3 linked regions of the Struthio camelus genome follow. The protein of the gene in region 3 interacts with the protein of the main gene of each other region in a pairwise test. Links are inferred from orthologs where the notes say so. Each region holds a gene or a part of one and is shown on either strand. Other genes may lie near its edges. The genes, in order: LSM10, CLNS1A and LSM3.

The links.
Region 1: the proteins of LSM3 (region 3) and LSM10 interact in binary tests that used the Homo sapiens proteins (3 or more experiments, as listed by UniProt). The link is inferred for Struthio camelus from reciprocal best matches to the Homo sapiens genes LSM3 and LSM10.
Region 2: the proteins of LSM3 (region 3) and CLNS1A interact in binary tests that used the Homo sapiens proteins (3 or more experiments, as listed by UniProt). The link is inferred for Struthio camelus from reciprocal best matches to the Homo sapiens genes LSM3 and CLNS1A.

The regions. Positions count from the first base shown.
Region 1 is NC_090964.1:10,314,917-10,319,786, forward strand, and holds LSM10 (U7 snRNA-associated Sm-like protein LSm10), read right to left. Parts: upstream 963-4,870; coding exon 591-962; downstream 1-590. Other genes in the region: protein OSCP1, read right to left, coding at 1,644-1,760, 2,316-2,379, 3,160-3,299, 3,511-3,580, 4,118-4,246, 4,615-4,718. UniProt on the Homo sapiens protein: Appears to function in the U7 snRNP complex that is involved in histone 3'-end processing. Increases U7 snRNA levels but not histone 3'-end pre-mRNA processing activity, when overexpressed. Required for cell cycle progression from G1 to S phases.
Region 2 is NC_090942.1:220,530,865-220,538,390, reverse strand, and holds the start of CLNS1A (methylosome subunit pICln), read right to left. Parts: upstream 3,088-7,526; 5' UTR 2,989-3,087; coding exon 2,870-2,988; intron 539-2,869; coding exon 402-538; intron 1-401. UniProt on the Homo sapiens protein: Involved in both the assembly of spliceosomal snRNPs and the methylation of Sm proteins.
Region 3 is NC_090955.1:9,034,499-9,042,069, reverse strand, and holds the start of LSM3 (U6 snRNA-associated Sm-like protein LSm3), read right to left. Parts: upstream 3,006-7,571; 5' UTR 2,863-3,005; coding exon 2,842-2,862; intron 1,696-2,841; coding exon 1,585-1,695; intron 443-1,584; coding exon 347-442; intron 7-346; coding exon 1-6. Other genes in the region: XPC (DNA repair protein complementing XP-C cells), read left to right, coding at 3,023-3,113, 4,437-4,647, 5,533-5,660, 6,497-6,620. UniProt on the Homo sapiens protein: Plays a role in pre-mRNA splicing as component of the U4/U6-U5 tri-snRNP complex that is involved in spliceosome assembly, and as component of the precatalytic spliceosome (spliceosome B complex).

The sequences.
Region 1 (4,870 bases), on a different chromosome or scaffold from region 3:
ACCTTGTGTTCAATTTGCCAGCTTTGCGGCTCGTGAGTGCCCAGGCTGTCTCATGGCCTCCATCTCCTCCTGACCCCCTTTCCACAGCGCTCAATCTCCTGCGGACAGAGGTACCCATAGCAGTGGGGTCCCAGTCTCCACTAGCCAGGAAGGCAAAGCTGTGAGAGCAGTAGGATGCCTGTGGGAGACCACAGCCAAGCAATAACACCAAACTGTGGCTTCTGACCAAAAGGGCTTTGTTTGAGAAGAATGGTGAGCAGTGAGAGAAGGGATACAGAGTAGCTGCCAAGCAAACAGGAAATGAGCTGGAAAAAAAAAAAAAAAAAAAGAGAAATCACAGATCCTTTAAAGCAGGGTTATTCATTAAAAAAATAACCTCGCACTGAGGATCCCCCCGCTCTCCCATAGGCACCAGCCAGGGGAGAAGCAGAGCCCTGTGTCCCTGGGAGGGATGCCCAGGGCAAGGTGTGGAGGCAGCTGGCAGAAAGTCCCAGTGTCCTGTCAAGAGGGGACACACCTGTCCTTGCCTTCCCGTGCACGTGGCGCCAGGGTCCGTGCTGGAGCTGGAGATACGGCAGCACCAGGAAGGATCACTTGTGCCTCGCTCGAGGGAACTCCTTCCTGCCCTTGTCACGGCCTCCAAAATAGCGGATCCTGTGGATTGCCTGCAGCTGACGCTCGATGGTGGCCCTGATGTCCACCTCGTCGGGGATGTGAACATAGCGGACGTTCCTGCCGGTTATAAAGAGCTCATCCAGGTGGGACACTGTGCCCTGCCTGTCTGTGAAGGTCACCTCAGACAGGCGCACGTTCATGAAGGCGTCCACGTTGGTGATGCGCCCAGTGGCTGTGCTCTCATCACGGAGGTCCACAGTGGTGACATGGCCGTGCAGGCCCTGCAGAAGGATGACCAGACTGTTCTCGGCAATGGTGCGCTCCTTGACAGAGTGGCTGACCTCCATCGCGCCGCTGTAGCAGAGGAACAGGAGACGCCATGCAGCGCTCTGACCAGCACCTGCCTGCCCCACTGCCCGCTCCCCCAGGGGCAGGTCAGCCAGACTCTGTGTCCCGGGGCACATGCTGCGGTGCAGCCACCAAAGAAATGCACTGCATCTCCCTTGCATGCTTTCACACTCCTCCCCTTGCACACTGGTGTACATACCACCCCCTCTCCCCTTGCACACGCACATAGGTGCACACCGCCCTCCTCTCCTTGCACACGCACGTACAAACTGTCTTCCTCCTCTTGCACGCTCACCCGCACGCCCACTCCCGCTGCTCGCACTCTCGCTCTGCAGGCGCCCCCCCGCACACCCACCCGCCCGCTGCCCCTCTCCCGCGGCCACGCGCCGCTTGGATCCCCGCGCACACGGGCGTGCACGCTGCCCGCCCCCCCTTGCACGCTCGCGTGCATGTGCTTCCCTCCTCCCCGGCACACTCACCCGCGCGGCCCGGCGGCAGGAAGGGGCGGCGCGGAGCGGCCGCGTGCGCAGTGCGGCCCCGGCCCCCGAACCGCCCCGGAGCCGCCCGCCCCCGAGCGCCGCCCGCCCGCCCCCGGCCCCGGCGCCGCCCGCCCGCCCCCGGCCCCGGACTCTCGCTCGGTGCCAGGCTGGGAACAGCGTATTTAATGGTGCGGCGGGCGGTCAGAGCCCGTCCATGAGCGCCAGCAGGTCCTCGCCTTTGGCCGTGCTGGCCGGGCGCTGCTCCGCCACCTCCAGCTCCCCCAGGATGCGGGCCAGCTCCTCCTGCCGCCCCGGGTCCTGCGCGGAGAGAGACAGCCTCAGCCTGCGCCCCCGGCCCCCGCAGCCCCGGCGTGCCACAAGCGAGCGCAGGGGTACTGCTCCCCCCGTTAATCTGCCGACAACTGCCTCTCCTGGGCTGACGGTGCTCCCGCCTGTGTTCCTGACACCGGCTGGGATTCTCCCCTGTAAAAGTACCACAGTATTGCAGCCCTATTCAGAGATGCCCAATTGCCTGTTAAAATTAAGGAGGTGATTTAAGGGTTTACAGGCATTAGGCATGATCCGGTATGCGTTCTCTAGTCCATCTGGTCTTAAAACTTGTTCTAATAAGTGAGAAAGCTGCAAATATTTGGAATTCAAATATTTGAAATATTCAAATATTTCAAGTTCTATTACTCAGTAATTACTATATCTACAAACTTAGTAGACTATATTTCCATTACTTATCACGAGCTTAACTGAATTTGAACACAACACATCTATATATTTTTAAGTCACTACCACAGGTAAAACTCAGTTCTTAGCAAGGAAAGAACGATTAGAATCAAAAGATCAGAAATACACCGTACATACCTGAGTGGCTTCTATGTTGATAACTTTGTAAGATAACTCCTCTGGTCTAGTCAATGCTGCGTGCCTTGATTGAAAACATGAAAAAAGTGCTTAATCTCACGATGACATACCAGTAAGTGATGAAAACAGAATCAGATTCATGAGGCTGCTGTGGACATGAAGTTTAGACAACTTTGCTATTTTTACTAGGCAAATTAATACATTAATCCCAGTTTGCAGTCTTATCCCTGTCTTGGATTTCTTATGCTAGCTGTAGAACAGTGAGAGTCTCTCTTTAGTTGCAAATAAAACAAATCTGCAAAAATTTCTGCAAAAAAAATTCTGCAGAAATCAAATAATGAAATGTCTCATTACCCTTTTGCTCCCTGCTAGGAAGCAGCTAAGGTAGTCAAGCCTGTTAGGCTTATCACCACTGATCAATTGTTAAGATATGTATATTTCAGGAGATAAGTATGTATTCATTTGGGGGATGGGAGAGCTAAAGGAGCTGAAGGGATGTACGTTGTTTCAGTTCTGTGTGACAGGACCTAAGCACAGATGGTCACAGACTGGTGATCTGCCAGTCTCACTTCAAGGGACAAGCAGTCCCAAGGACAAGAGCTTGCATCACAAGTGAAACACCAGTAACGCAAATGCGTCTCCTTGCTGCTAGTCCCAAAAAAAAGGTCAAGCCAGGGAAACTGCTGTTCCTTGTGTTCCTTCAGGGACTATCTGCACCAGGATAAGGAGATACTACAAAGACTGCTTATTCTGTCCCTAAGGCTGTTAAGGCTCAGCTTCAGTCTCCAGGACTGTCCACATGGGACTAAATCACAAACCCCAACCAAGCACAACTCGAGCATACTCTTCCTCCTCGTCTGTCGTGAACAAGTTTAGTCGAAATCCTGTCTCATTGCCACCAGGTTTCTTGATCTCCAGAACTCCTATTAGCCTGGCCAAAAAGTTCATCTCTTCTTTGGCAAGAGGATTAGGGGCTGTATTCTCCTGTAAAAAACAGTAATGGGTTAAATGGCCAGATTAACAGGAAAATGAGGACTGCAATAGTTTGGTCATTTCTCATATTAGATAAATATTTTTCAAAGTGATGTAAATATATTTCTGTATTTTTAATGGTGGAGATAGTGCAGGTAAGTCATAATTATATCAGTTACACATTTAAAATGGTTGGTTGAATTTATAGACTGAGAACACTGACCTTTGCATGGGATGCCAAGCTTTTGGATGATCCTGCCATGTGTGTCTCTACTGGCCGGCTAACACTGTACCTAGTGAGAAAAAATATACAAGGAAGAGCTCCCCATTAGCTGCATTGATAGTGGAATAGAATGGAGCAACAGGATCCGAATGTGGTTTAGCAATATTTTTCTGAAGAAAAAGTAAAAGTTTTGATTCAGTTTTATGGAATATTGATGCATTAAAATGTGCAAGTGACGAAACTATAAGAACGAACGCTGCTGTCTCTTGCTCTGTGAATGGAAAAAATTACGTCAGACAAACAGGAAAAAAAAAGCATCCCTTGAATGCAGTTAACATGAAATCACATTCCAGAGAATATGCAGTACCAGATGAGAACACTCTTTGCTCAGCTCTACTCTAGACATGAATTAAACTGTGACTGTCTTTATTTATACACATCTATTGCTAGGTATGTTTTGTTTCAGAAGATCATTCTGTGAAAGAGTCAAGCTGATCATAGAGAAAGAGGCAAAAATAAGTAAACAAGGCTGATGCCGTCCTTCTGGACAAGCATATAGCCATCAGCATTTACTTTCACGTTTCTATGTAGGACAAAAGTGACTTACATATTTGTTCCAAGTTTAAGGACTCTGTCTCCATAAAGATCAAAAGATCCTTCCCTTTGTGGAGTAACATAATTTCCATCAGTGGTGAATTCAGTTCTTTTAACCTCATCTCCATTGTGATTAAACATCCTTAAAAACAAGTCGTTATTGAAACATGTTTAGTAGTAAATTTCAGTACTGACTTGCTTTGTTTGTTTTACAAGAAAGGGGAATAAAACTCTGTTCTGTAAATTGATGGGAGCCTATTTTAAAGGATAAATAACATCTAAGTATCTGAAATAGGGGATGACAAAAACATGCTTAATGTTTCATTACTGGGCGACTCAGTTCCAGATCCTGCCCTATATATAATACTTATTAGATGTTCAGATATCCATGCACCGTAAGTGACAGTCTAGGCATGATTCTTATTAGACATCGGGGACTAACTGTTCCTTCGTGAGCAGCCATGCATGCAAGGCGCTACAAACTTCATAAACAATGGTTCAAAAATGTACCTGATGAGTCCTGGAATTTCTGTACCCCATGGAACAGGGCCCGATATTGGCAGCACAAAGCGGCCATTGGAATTTTGTACTTTATCCTTCAGAAAGATGGAGACCTGCAAAAGAATATTCCACCCACAAGAACGTCAGTTAAGTATCTTCTGATGCAAGTTCTCGGAAGTCTGACCTTGCAGCTTTTCTGCCTAGGCATGGCATGGATTGGGTTCTTAGAGATTTTGATGTATATAAAGATTATGTATGACTAGCT
Region 2 (7,526 bases), on a different chromosome or scaffold from region 3:
GAAGCACCAGGCACAAAACCTGAAGAAGGTTGCAATAGTAACAGAAATTCAGTAAAGCAAGAACGATATGTAAGCCCTGGGATCACAGGCAGGCAGCAGGTGAATAAAATTGTTTAAAGTAAGTACAAGGGAGGAGAGAGTTGAAGTTCAGTGGCTCCAGCAGCACATAATCTCATGCTGCAATGCAGAACAGCACAGAAGGGACTATAAGCCAGGGCAAAGCTATTCTTCTAAAATAATCCTCCTTCAGCGAAATGAAAAAGAGAAACCACAAGATACCATTTAAAGGAACCATATACTTTTCAAATGCACAGTTTACTCCCTTTCATAACTGACAGTTTGAGGAAGAAATCCTGCCATTCAGGACAGCATAAAAACAGTAAGCAACATTTGGGGCATACCTTCAAATTTAGCATTCACCATGACATACAAATGTTCCCACGGGTAGGCATTTAGGTCCCTGGAGACAGCATGTAAACTGATGGTGGGATAATCCAAGGAGAACCCAAGTCCAGAGTTATCCAGCCAAGACAGGCGACTAAAAAAGGGGAAGAGAGAGACCAGTTAGAGACTCACAAAGGAATCCAAGGCACCTGGCTCACACCTTTAGAAAAGCAAATCAACCCAAACAAAAAGAGTAATTCCTCAAAAGGCGGACAAGGCACTTACCCCGGACAAGGCACTTACCCCGTTTGCCCCGTTCTCTACTGATGTGTGATCCTGGAACTGTCTTAACAGCACCTTGCAACAGCATAGCTTATATTTAAAGGTAAGAGAACCCTTTTCATAAGAAACATGAATCTGAGCACCCTAAACAAACTTCAGCTTTATTACATTTGCAATAAAGACTGAGTTTTTTCTCCCTACCTCTTCAGTTTCTATACCCTGTAGATGATATATCACCACAAGGATAACTGCACAGGTTCCAGTGTATAATTTATAACTCAAACCATCAAATATTCCATGTTTTTTCAAGACCAAGTGTACACTAGGGAAGGAAGATCACCATCACAACTTCTTGAGAACAACTCTGATGTGAGTACTGCCTCTACAAACGAGCGGCATGTGGGAAAACAACTAGTTTTGTGATCAGCAAAACCAACAAAGTTGTGGTTTTATCTCATGCCTTATATACTCTAACCTCTGATTCCCCACGTTTTCACTCTCACCGCAACTTGAGACAGCACAAGTTGGGCCCAGCTCAGAGCTACGCAGCTGCCAGTGGGCTGCTACCTCTTTCATATCAGAAAAATCACCGTACTTCAAGCAGCTGACAAACCAAAGAAATAGTTTTGGGTGGTCTGTGACCAGTGAGGTCACATGCCTCACAGAAATACCAAGCGGCAGAAGCTGAGACCTCTGCCGCTCGTGACAGTCGACAGGCTGTTCAACTCTTTTGGCTGGGGGATGAAAACGGGAACGGTCACAGAAGATTCCTCGCCTCAGGAAATCAGGCTAAGAACAAGAGCTAACGAAGTGGGAGCGAGGAACTTCTTTCCTAACCTGGATCGGCCAGTCCTCAGTGTTTACAGTTGTTACCGCAGAGTCAGTACTTGGATCCAAAGCCTCACTGTGCTCCCACAGGATGGGACTCCCGCATACGATGGCTCTTTCTATTCTCTACCAGAGAGAGAGACTCTGGTAGAAGCTTTGTAGCATACTAGCAATGTTCTGGGAGAAAGCTGGCAGGCTCGTGTGAGCCTCATACAACAAATCCATTGAAAGCAAGACACAAGGAAACTCAGCGTTATACATATGGAAAGCATACCCGTGTGAACACAAGCCCTTGTATCTGCAACCAAACAACTAAACAAAGCGGTGTTTGAAAGCCCAGTCAGCTTCTGCTACAAGAGGAATACGACACATGAGTGCTGGCTCAGGTGGTTCTCACACATAATATCACCAATTTTAAGAAAGTTTCAGGATCTAGATGTTTTAGAAGGCAATACATTCCTCAGTGAGTATTTTAGATCATCTGATTCTTCTAAAGACACTTTTCCATTACAAAGAAGCATATTGAGAGGGCTTTTCCCCGATTAAAAAATAATACATTGCCTTAAACAACAAACCGCCCTCTGTAACCGTACGCCGCAAGGAGAACATAAAAGAAACTATAAAGAGCGTATATATAACATCTGTTCTTCTGGAACAACCTAACTGACTTCTGCCAAGTACAAACGCACAACATCCACGTGAATGACGCGACGGATTTCACAGAAGCGCGGAAACCGCGAGCGGAGCAGAGAACCCACGGCCGCGACCACCGCCTCTGCCCGCGGAGGAGAGGTGCCACGTCCGCAGACCAGACCCCGCCCCGCACAGCAGGCCCCTCAGGGGAGACCCCCACACAGAGCTCCCCCCACCAGGGTAGACCCCCCTCCCCACGGTCCCCCCAACCAGTCCCCTCAGGGGAGACCCCCACACAGAGCTCCCCCCACCAGGGTAGACCCCCCCCCCACAGTCCCCCCACCCAGTCCCCTCAGGAGAGACCCCCACACAGAGCTCCCCCCCCTCAGGGCAGCCCCCCCCCACGGTCCCCCCAACCAGTCCCCTCAGGAGAGACCCCCCCACAGAGCTCCCCCCACCAGGGTAGACCCCCCCCCCACGGTCTCCCCCTCCCAGGCCCCTCAGGGGAGGTCCCCCCACAGAGCTCCCCCCCCGGGGTAGACCCCCCCCACTCCCCTCAGGGGAGACCCCCACATAGAGCTTCCCCTCCCCCAGAGGGGACCCCCTCCCACGGTCTCCCCCCCCACAGGCCCCTCAAAGGAGACCCCCCCCCCACACACAGACCCCCTTCGGCCTGAGAGGAGGAGGAGAAAGACCGTTACCCCTCGCCCCACCCGGCCCGCCGACGGCTTCCTCCCCGCACCTCTCGGCGATGTACAGAGTGCCGGCGCCCAGGCCGCGCCCCGCCAGCACCGCCTCCGTGTCGGGCTGCTGATGGCGGACGCCCTCGGCCGGCGGCGGGAACCGCTTCAGGAAACTCATGGCACCGCGCGGCCGGGCCGGGCCTGGGCCTGGGCCGCCGCCTGCGCCGCCGCCGCCGCCTCCTCCCCGCCCGCACGGCCACCCGGAAGCAGAACGCGCCGCTCCGCCCCCGCGGGGAGAGGAGGGAGGGAGCAGCGAGACGAACGCACGCCAGCCGCTCTAGGCACCGCTCTATGGCAGGGGAGGCCGTGTGAGGGGGTCACGTGGCCTCGGCGCCGCAGCCGCCGCCATGTTGCAGACGGCGTCGCCGAGCTGCGAGCGGAAAAACAGGGGTTGTGGGGCGGGGGGGGGAATCAGTAATCGGCGCTTTTGGCGCTGCCCTCCTCTGCTGCCGCTGTACAGTAGAATAAGTGAGGGGTGAGGGGAAAGGTGGGGGCACAGAAACAGCGGGATCCGCCCCTTCGGGGTCGCTCAGCGGCGCCTCTCTCCACGGCGCGGATCCCCCCCCCTCCTCTGCCCCTCCGCGCAGCAAAGCAGGGGGTCTCACCCCAAAAACACCCGCCCTGAGGCCCAGCCTGTAGCCGAGCAGCATCCACGTCCCGCAGATCCTTGAGTTAAAACTCCCCGTGGCGGAGCAGACGCGAGCGGAGGGGAGCGCCAAAGCGACGGCCGGGCCGGGCCGGCGTCCGTGAAGGGCAGCGGCACCCCGCTTCGGGCCTGGAGACCCTGTTTCCCCTCAAAAGGGGGAAATAAAACGCCGCCGGGATCGGGAGCTGGGTCCCGCTGGGGGATCTCTGCGGTGCGTCACCCCCGGGCGAGCAGCTGGTGGTCTCTGGTTGAAGGCCGGGATTACACCTCTACAGGGTGATGGAATAAATCACCGCGTTCAGGCTGCACCAGTGAAAACGTCCCTGTCGGAAGACTCTCCCGGTGGCTCTCTCGGTGAGGCAGCACCACGGCAATCTTCTCTCCGACCGGACAAACCTTTTGAGGTTGACCAGTGCTTCCACGTTAGCGGGGCAACAGCAGACTCACGAAGCGCCTGTGCAGCTGGCTAGCTTGCTGTCATGGTTTTCCATCTTCTCTTTCAGCAGCTTCAATTCACTTCTAAGGAGTTGATTTACCTACCTCTTGGCAAGCTCAGGTTCTTACGCACAGGAGCAGATTGTTAACAGCATTAGCTCTTCCAATTTTTCCTTCTCTGGACTTTTCTTATTCTAGTCTTGGGTGGCCAAGGGCCAAAGAAAGGCATTCTGGAAAAAGAAAATGTGTGAAGAAACAAAGGGAACCAGAACATACATAATTCTTCTAGGCTGAGCTTTTTAAAATGTTTTGATCAGCCCATCCTATCCATTCCGGATTCCAATTATGCAACAATTATTATTCATGCAAATAACCACCGTGACAGAAAGCAACTTCCACAATGAAGTGGTATTTAAACATTGTTAGGATAGCTCGAAACACTGACAGAAGCAATAAGAGATGAGGAAACAGAAGTTTCTCAGCCATCTTCGGGTTTGCCATGCCCAAACAGTACAGAAATGCCCGTCTGATGGTAAGGAAGTTCTACAATTCATCCACGAATACAGATCAGATTACAGCAACTGGCGGGATGAGGCGCAAATATATGAAAATGCCCGTTCATCACACGTAGAGGTTATAAAATCAACATTCCTGCTCGTTTCCACCCCCAGTGATCTGATATGCACTGCCCTCAGCACCCCTGTAGAGTGAGTGCTCACCCCCTGACTGGAAATTGTGTGACAACTCCATTAGATTATTTTAAATCAGAACAACTGAATGGTTAAAGCTGAATTAAGCCACTGCAGTGGATCAGTGTAGAGTTCATTCTTCCTTCTGCACATAAATGCTATTTTTCTTGTGTCACAAAATACACTTCTTTAAAGGAGAAAGGAGGAAGGATGGTTTGGACAAGGCAGGGCATTCGTTTTGAGGTCTGGGGCCTTAAGGGAGGAAAAGAAAGCCACATCTTCCTATTTTATAGATACTTCATACCCCAGTACCGAACAGTGACAAGTAAACATACCAACCTGTCCTTACCAAGATAAGCAGTGACATAGCGAAAGCTGGCTTTTTAATTCATTACTCCACTCTGGAGAGTTGAGTGAGCAAGCAGACATTTCCAGTTGTCCATAAATTCACAAGAGAAACAGAACAGAGCTTCTATTTGAAAGCTTTTTTTTTTTTTCTTCAGGATCAGGATCCCCAGCACTGGTGTCTACACATTAGATGTCCAACTGTGACTTAGCCTAGGCCGCATTTCGAGCCAGTGGAGAGAGGTAGGTACCTTCAAAGGGTGGTTAAAAGTCATCTGAGGGTGCCTGTCTCTCTCCACCGACGACACCGCACTGCGTCGAGTACAGTGGCCAGCTCAGGCTTAAGACATCTAGCGTAAGGTGACATGAATCACACCCAGAGCTCGTTAAAAATGCAAGTGTAAAATTTTGGCATTTAGGTTGGAGCACGAGGCTGGAGTTCACAGCAGTATCTCATCAGTACGGGAACAGGCAGCAGTTTGACCTCAGTTCACGTAACGCTGTCAGTGCCCGTTACCATAGTCACATGCCCCAAAGCCTACATTTTAGTGTTTCTCTACCGGCTTGTATACGGTGGCTTTTCAGGTCTCTGCCCAAATAAAGGAACCCAGGTCCTCTCTCATTAGTACTATGTGGAAATGTCATAGATGTATGCTTGAAAAGCCTAGCTGGGGACGCTCTTGGCCGCGAGTCGCACAAACAGTATGACCGATGCAAGCAAAAACTGGTAACAGGAAGATTTGCTCCCTAGGAGCAAGAATTCACAGTTGTAATTCAGCAGTTAGGCAACTCCGGCAGCAAGTGAAGTGGATGCTGCAGCGTTAAGACCAACACTGAGCCCTGCTCATGCTACTGGCTTTCAAGTGACGGCAACATCACTCTGCAATTATATATAAAAAGGATGTAGAAGAGGGAACCTACAAAGACAAATCATCACAAGTGCAAAAATAGGTCCTTCGGGTCTTCCTCACTGTCAGCTACAGCTGCTCAAAGGAAAAGCTCCGTCAGCTGAACTGTCATAACAAAAATCAACACAAAACAGTAGTTGCTCGTTCCTAGGCCGGGCAGTATCACTGGGAAAGGCTGGAATGAAATGCAGCAGCCGTTACTCAGCGCTTATTTTAAAAGTCAGGCAAAAAGATACCCCTCCAGGAGGTGCATGGGTGATGATCATTAAAAAGCAAACTTACTTCTTCAATACACATTATACTTTGTACGTCGAGTTATTTCAATTTTTTTTTTATTATGACAATTTACATGTCATATTTATATGAAAGAAATGACAGTAGATATTATAACAAAAACATTATGAAAGAAAAGTTACACAATTAGGCCTACAAGCTATAAAATGGCTTCAGGCCCAGCTTATACACAAAGAGATCTGACCAGACTGTAGTGAGAGACAACGCTGAACAATTCATTAACAAAAATATTGGCACCAGCCTTAACATTTTTTTTTTTACTTCATTTACAAGGAATACAGTATTTAAACAGTTGTGTACTGCAAATCTAAGAACATTAGCTGTTATTAAACTGCAGTTAACCCTTTGAGCACTGAGGCCACCATGACTTCCGTTTTAAAAAGTTTTTTAATGCATCATGTTTTACATGCACGTGATATTAGTTGTGGGGAAAAAGAGACAGTGAAAGCACCACCCAATTTCTGTGCAACAAGAATAACACTTCCAGTTTTTTCAACATATTTTCCCCCTTCCCACACACACAGTGTGTGTCCCTCGGTCCTTTCCCTTTGCTATCGTAGCAAGTCATGATTGAAAAGAGGTTTAAAAATCAAGGTTCAGGACTCAAGAAATGCCAGGGTTAAACTCCACAAAGAGCTCAGCTTTTGCAACTTTACTGCGTTAACTCTCTAGAGAAAGAAACAAAAACGAGGCCAACTGTGAGCGAGGCCATTTGTAAGGAACTCCAGGTTTCTCTGCAAACATATCAAAACAGCACACAGGAGTAAGACGAAACTGTATTTCATGTAAGCAGATCTTCAATTGTACGAGACCTATGTGGCAGTTTCGATCTAATTGTCACAGAATATCGGAGGGTAACCATTCTGCTAGCAAGTGACCTGCTCTGTGTTAATTGGGACAGTGAAAATACCTGATGTTCACATCTAATATACAGGGTTTGTGCCTATTTGAGAACCATCATGCACACCAAGGACAGTGACATTAAACTTCTGAATCAGTCAAATAACCGTCTCACGGCTGCTACAGATCTATTCTTAAGGAGGACTGTGAAACACAGGTAGAAACTAGCAACCGCATTGGCATTTAAGACAAATTATTTTAATGTAAGTTAGGGGGAGGAGTACCATTTTAATGAATATAGTATAGGAATAAGATACTGTACAATAATTTAGAGTCCATATAATGAGTATGAAATGGAAAACCAAACAAGGCATACAGCTTTATGATCTGATTTCCTTTTCTACCGCTAACTTGAGTAGCAGGTTAGTAGCTATTAAGGACCTTAAATTGCTCTAACAAACAAACGGAGCACGGGTAACCAGGCCTATCATATGTTTTA
Region 3 (7,571 bases):
GGTAGACTAAGAAGAAGGAAAGAAAAGTTTACATTTACAAAAGTATAGTTGACAGAACACATCTGATAAGTATGTGACCAAATTCAATCATAAAAAACACCAGAAAACTCCAACAAAAGTAAGCTTGACTTTGCAACTTATTGGCATACTGAAGAGATCAGTACAATTAATACTAAGTCTTTGGACACTTCATACTTTCATAAGAATCTGCCTGAAACTTTTGTCAGAGCTTGGCCCAATAAGTACTAGCAATAGCCTATTTCAAACAGATAACATTGTTTAGTTTAAAAAAAAAACACCACCACCACACATCTTTCTACAAGGATAAATACACTGAACTCCTTACTTTATAAATCTCTTCATAGGTTTCTTCATCAATCTCTATTGTTGTTACAGTTTCTTCAACATCACCCAAAATCATATTTAGGTGCTGATCATATGCCTGTAGGAATGAAGCTCATTATTATTTTTACAAAGTTCAAACACAAGCTCATTAAAACGAGAATTTTGATGGAAGCGTGCCACTATGTTAAAGCAAAGTAGTATTAGTTATAGTTAAATTTTCAAATATAAAGGCAGACAAATCAGTACTCTGCAGCATGAAAAAACCCACTGCCTTTATATTCACAGAAATGCTCTTCCAGGAAATGGCTTTGAAGCTTTCAATGAGAATGCATGCAAAAACTCTGATAGATATATTTATCCTTGTCATTTATTGACATTAAACAAGCTATACATTCTTTGCCACCAATCCAGCCTCCTGGGATTGATTATCTGGGGCTAACTTAAAGCCCCACAAAAACTGAAAGCCACAACAAAAATTTTACAAAAGTGTTCCAAATACCTTCCAAAACCATATTAGAAATTACTATAACCAGATCTTCATGGATATGTCCTCATCATTGAGGTCCCAAATGAGTTGGGGCCTGGTTAATATATGGGACAACTGGTTATCTTCCCCAACACAGTAAAGTACTCAGGAAGGATGACTGGCTTAACAGAAAAAGAAAACTCTCTCATTAAGTGATACACCACTATCAGAAAAGAATGCACTTAAACAAGTCAGATTTGCAGAGGATCAAGTTGAGAACATATCCCATCGTATCCTTATTAGGCGTAGCTTAACAGTCATTTGTTTGATAATGATAATCTCATTCTTATTTCAATCTTAAATAGACCTCAATGTGCTTTACAAGAGGGCATCTGCGTCATTATGCTCATTTCATAAACATAGAAACAAAGGCCAAAAACAGTGGAATGAATTGGTCAGTGTTATCCAGAGGACTAAGAAAGAAAAAACAAATACACCTCTTGAGTCTCTAGAGCAGCATTTTATGGCAGACAGAATACTGAAAAAATTAGATTTTGCTACTGTCATCACAAAAAAAAGCTTCTGAGAAAAGAGGACCAACCTCCGTCAGTAAGACGACCTTTAACTTACTTTCTCTAACCACTTCTGCACTTTTAATCACAAGATAGTTACATGTGCTTTTAAACTAGTTATTATATAAGTTTGCCTGTAATATTATGAAGGCTGCTGTACATGAAACGAGCATTGTAGTACTGTGAAAGTGTTCTACTTACATGTAGTCTGCCTCTAAGTTCCCTGTCATTCCTCATTTTAACATAGATTCGCTCATCTAGACTGAGTCTGATGAGATCAAGTGGCTCCTCTACAGTATTTGTTGTTTGTTGCTGAAAAGTCAAATTAAAAAAGAATCATTTACACAGAAGCAGCTTGGGAACATCTCTGTTCCTCAGTATTGGTGAGAAACACAAAAGAAAGGGGTAAGAACACAAAATCAAGAACTCTGAATCATTCTTTCAAATCCCACTGTATCTTCGGGCAATTGATATTACCATTCTATGAACGTTTAGCAGCACGAACAAAATTAGCTGGCACGCTTCAACTTAGGCTGCAACAAATTGTGCTTCACAAATGCTGTCAAAAGGGCCACATGCCTTATCGGCAACCCTTGGCCGCGCTGCGGCACAAAGCCCAGCCTGCACAACTAGCTCTGAACTAGCTAGCTTAGGAGCCAGTGCCACAGCTGTGGCACCACACAGCTTAAGCTAGGAAAAGTGAACATACGCTCTCATTTCCGCCAGCGTATTGGGGTCAGCTGGGTAACGCACAGCCCCTCCTGCCCCAGCCACGCACCTCTGGCTGAGGCGCCAGCACAACGGCATCAGCTACGCCAGGCCTCACAGCGGAGTCAGAAACCTGAACGCCAGCAGGGCTGAGCCGCTCTCTCGGTGGTAAAGCTGAGCTTTCAGGACCGCAGCCGAAGCGCAGGAACACCCCCGTCTACCTTCCCTAGCACACGACCTATTGCCACCGCGGCGAAGCCTCACGAACGGCGTTTTCCTCACTTCCTCCTCCCGCGGCTCCTCAGGGAGGCCGGCCCGGCACTGGCACCGCCAGCAGCCCCCACACTCAGAGCCCCCGGCAGCAGCGCGGGGACCCCGCTATACCCCCGTATAGCTTCGCCGTAACGTCTCGGCCCGGGTGCGGCGGGCGGGCAGCGCCTCACGAAGGCTGCGCGGGGGGAGGCGCAGCCCGGGCCGGGCGCCGCGAGCCCCCACGGGCCGCCGAGCGTCAGCAGCCCGCGGGGCACTGCCGCCATTTCATGCCGGCGCCCCCCGGCCCGGGGCTGCGGCCCTACCGGGGCTGGCGGTCACGGGAACCGGCTCCCCGCGGCGGGAGAGAAGGAGGGCGCCTAGGCAATGGCGGCAGGAAGGGCCCCGCCGCCGCAACGCTCCGAGACCGGGAGCCAGAGCCGGGCCGCGGCGGGGAAGGTCTCCACGCTGCCTCCCGCGCTGAGAGAAGAAGCCGCTCACCTGGTCCACCTCATCCGCCATCTTTCAAACCGCCTCGCGCCCTCTCCCGCGAGACTTTATGGCCCTGCCCCTTCCCCTCCGACGGCGCGGGGAGGCGGGCGGCTCCGGCCGCTCCGGGCGGGGACAGCCCGTCCGCTGCCGCGGCAGCCCCTTGGGCGCTCGCCTCCGCCGCCGGGGCGCCATGGCCAGGAAACGCAAAGCTTCGTCCCGGCCGGCGGCTGCCGACAAGAGGCGGCGCGGGGGGCCGAGGGCGGCGCGGGGCGAGGCGGAGGGTGAGTGCGGGCGGCTGTGGCGGGCCTGGCTGGGCGCCGCGACATCTCTGGGAGGCGCTGAAGTCCCGCCGGGGCCTCGGGCCCCTCCGTTCCCCGGGGGGGCCGGCGCGGCCTGACCGAGCGCCCCATCCCGCCGGCTCCTTGTTGGCAAGCTGGGTTTTCTTTCAATAAAGACGGGGGAGCGTAAAGACCGGGCAGGGGGCAGCGCGGAGGGGAATCCAGCCGCTCTGTAGAGCTGAGAGGTGGCGGGGCCCTGTGAGGGGGGCCCGGCCCGGCCCGGCCCGGCCCGTCGCGGCGGGCACCGAGCCGCTCGGGGGCTCCTGCGCCCGTGCTTCGTGGCGGAGCGGGAGGCTCCAGGTGGGCTGATGCCCGCCAGATCTCCGCGACCTTCTCTGTTACCCAAACGGAGGGGATTTCAGCTCGCTCTTAGCACAGCCCTGGAGTTCAGCAGCCTCTGGTGTTGGAAAGGGTCATGAAATAAGACTAGAAGCTCTCTCAACTCGTGTTTGGTCCGTCCCTGCCGCTCGTTTGCCTACGTAGTGCGACACCGCGTTATCCCGGGCTTCTCCCACGTCCTCGCTCCGTTTGGGATATTTCCCTCTGGATTTTTCCAGAGGTGTAAAAGATCGTTTGGTGACTTCCCTGAACTGAATTAGCTTTTCTGCACAGCCCCAGAGGGGGTATGACTGAAATACATGAATTAGGGATTTAAATCAATGCACGAACTGTCCAGCAGGGCCCACACAAAGTTATCTGGAGGACGTTAAGGGTTTCACACACTGATAAAGGCTGGAAATCAGGAAGCAAGCGACCTGTTAAGGGTCTGGCTGACCTTAGTTATGACTCTTCTGTGAAAACACACCGTGCTGTAGTGTCCCCCGTGTGTCACCTGGAAGGTTGCTGTTATATTCAGTGGTCAGCGTCCCAGGAGATGCCTTAAATAAAGTTCTTCTGAGTAGCTTTACAGAATAGTTGTCTGAAGAAAATAATTTCTTACGAGTGGTAAGTAGGATGCTTGTTTTTCAGCTGCTCTCATTGGTAAGACTATAGGAATCTTTATGTATTTTTCCCACTACGTTGCTATTGTTTAGTAACTAACACTACGTTACTAACGCTACAATTATTTTCTTTTAACTGTTGTTGTTGAGTTATTCCCTATTTATTATGCAAATACTCAAATGGTATTCTTTATGAATGTTCACTTTCTTCTGTAGCTGGTAGGTGAAATTCTCCTCTAATGAACAATGTGAAGGTATTGCTCCTGACTGCAGTGGAGGTGACATTTCATCCTTTGGCATATCATCCTTTCATCCTTTCTTCTAGCTGGTGCGGATGATTTTGAAGAGAAAAAGCCCAATACAAGAAGGAAAAACTCAAAAGTTCCAGCTAGAAAGAGGGAAGAAGACTGTGGTACTGGAGTTTGCAGCTCAACAAGTAAGACTTCAAAACAAAAAGGGGTAAAATCAGTAATAAAAGAAGAAAATAAGAAAACCACTGAAAGTAAAGGGAGTCATAGTGAAGAGGAAATGTGCAGGTAAGTTCACTTACTGTTCATTTTTAGAGCCTATATGAACTCTTTATTCATGATTATATGTTTTTGTTTAGGGCCTAGTGCTGCAAATTGGTGTATGTGTAGCTTAATGTAAACAGAGTTGGCCTTGAAGAAGACGGTCTGTGGGGGAAGCAGATACGTGAGCCTTTTCAAATTCAATAGTTTAAACCTAAAATTTTTTTAATTTGTTATTCTAGTTTTTCATGGGGCTAGGGAGGTTTCATGGAACCCAGCATGTATAGAAATGTTGCGGGGAGACTTGAGTTTACAAGTATCAGCAGAAACCTTTAAACATATCATTTCCCTGTGTTTTTAGGAATCCAAATATAAGAGCAATGTGGTCTTCCCATGGAGGTTGCCATAGCAAAATTAATTAATAAGAAGACATGAAACTGATTGGTTGGTCTCATTCCACTGGCCAACTGGCCACTAATGTGTGGTGAAACAGAAACAGTTCTGATTTCAGTACACTTTGATGAAGGTTCAGTAAGAAGAAATGATTCAGTGAACTAATTCTCCAAGAACGCGTTTGTGCAAGCTGTTCTGAAGGATGGGACCTTTTGTACGTTCAGGCATCTTCCTTCTTAGAAAGCCTTGCGGAACCAGGACTTAAGTTTACACTGGAAAAAATGTTACCCCAATGAGCCCATGGTTGTTTATGGCACAGATGCTTTGCTTTACAGAGAAGGCATCTGTATTCACATACCTTCAAATATTCAAAACCTTTGTGTCTGTTGTTACTGATACAGAGGTCATGCTTCATTTATTTCCCTGTTTTTAATGTTTCTCTTTCTCTGTGTTTTTTTTTTTTTAATAAACAAGCACCCGCACTTCCCAATGCTAAAGCCATTTTAATAATTTCCATAGTGACTCACTGAAGCCACCTCAGGGGGAGAAAAATTTGAAGAGAGAATCTCCTGTTAAAAAAGAGATGGATAAAGACAATGCTGACGATGATGATGATGAAAGTGAAGATGAATGGGAGGATGTGGAAGGTAACAACCTTTTATTGCATTTTATTCATATTAGGGAGTAAATATTCTTATATGCAATTTTTTTTTGTAATTTGGTTATTCAGCCATTTCTCATTTGATTCAGGTAGGTGAGTTCTGTGTACTTAGAGTATCTTCCATGTGCATATCTGTATCTTTTAAAGCTGATATCTCACAATAATGCTAAGAATTTTTCCAAAGTAAAAAAAGACCAAAACAACCACTGACCTAATGCAGTGCCTTGCATTTGACAACCTGCTGATTATGTTAAAATGATGCAACTTCACAGCACTTTTTCAGCTGTTTGGGTTATCTAGTCCTTAGAGAAGCTAAGAATGAAACAGTTTGAAGATTCAAAACTGTGACTTCCTAGCAAGGCAGGATGGAGATGAAACCAACTGATCTGTTTGGTCAGGTGCCCCTCAACACACTGTGATGAGAACCATGATGATCATAATTTTATATTTTACTGCTATAGATTTATGCCTTCTAACAGGAAGAGCTATCCGTTTCTTCTTTTCTCCTCCGCAAGCACCCTTTAAGTCACACCTGCATCATTTTACTGGCCTTTCTCCTGTTTGGGTTTGTGACAGAGTGACTTGCCATTAGACTTTGCTGATCGGGTTCCTTAAGAGCAGAGTGACTAGCATCCCACAGCTACCTAAAACAGCTGAGCAGACTCTGCTATAGAAGATGCAAGAACTGGTAATTACTGGGGCGTTCTGTTTGTAGGTTGAGTTTGAGCAGATGATTGGGAGCGGGTAGGTTCTTATCCCATTGGCAGCCCTCCCAAGAGCATCCATTCTATGTGGATTAATTATAATATTTTATTTTTCCAGAACTCCAGGAACCTGTCATGGATAAGTTAGAAGAAGATGCTGTTGTTCCGGCAGCAGAGCTGCCAAGCAAACCAGTTGAGATAGAGATTGAAACCCCAGAGCAGGCAAAGAAAAGAGAGAGAAGGTAAGAACAGGGGAGGCTGTGAGGGGCAGTGAAAGGATGTTTAAAAGTTGAAGCTATGCCCAGTGTTAACTGTCACTGATTTGCTCTGTTCTGGGTGAAAATCCCCAAACTGTGCAGGCTGTTGACTTGGAATGATTTGAGGTAATGGGATGGAGGACAGTTTACATCCACAGAGGACTTTTCATCTGACGTTTTTATCAAAAGTCTTCAATGGAAGTTGGTGGGAATGGAGGCTTTTCAGCTTCTTTGAAAATCAGGCCCCTAACTTCATTGTGCATTAGTGTCCCCATCTCCAAACCAGGGATAGTAATAGGTTTCTTCGTGGAGAGCTGTGGGTAAATGGTGTTATTTTACTGTAAATATCTAACAGCTAAGGTGGAAAGCCTCTGTTTGCCATATCTGCGGGGGTGAATAGATGGAGTCAAATGAATGCCATCAGCGTCTGGGAGCATTTTACCAGGGAGGGCTTTCTTCCCATGGCAGCTGGAGGCCTGGCAGTGTCTCACACTGTTACAGGGTGGGCACTGTCCAGACGAGCCCTTCATTGCAAAGCAACTAGAATATCTGTTGTCTCCCAGTCAAAAGATTTAGTCAGTGAAAAGAAAACTGTTTATCCAGGAAACTGAATGTAAGGGTAGCAGTAATCTAAAACAGACAATTCAGAAAGCGAGTAATAAGTTTTGTATGGAGCTGTCTAAAGCTGTCTGGTAGGAAACTCCAGATACATAAAATTAGGTGGAATTTAGGCTATCCGAATATATCTGAGCTCTCAGTAGTCAGGTACATGGAGTTTATATGTTATTAGTCATATGCATCCTACATGCCTATTTGCATAGCCATTAACTAAACTTTTGCTAAGTGGGCACAGAATATTCTCTGGGATGGTTCTCTTTGTGAGCTGATACAGTTCAGGAATCTAGAAAGGCAGGTCCATAGAAAACCACAACATCC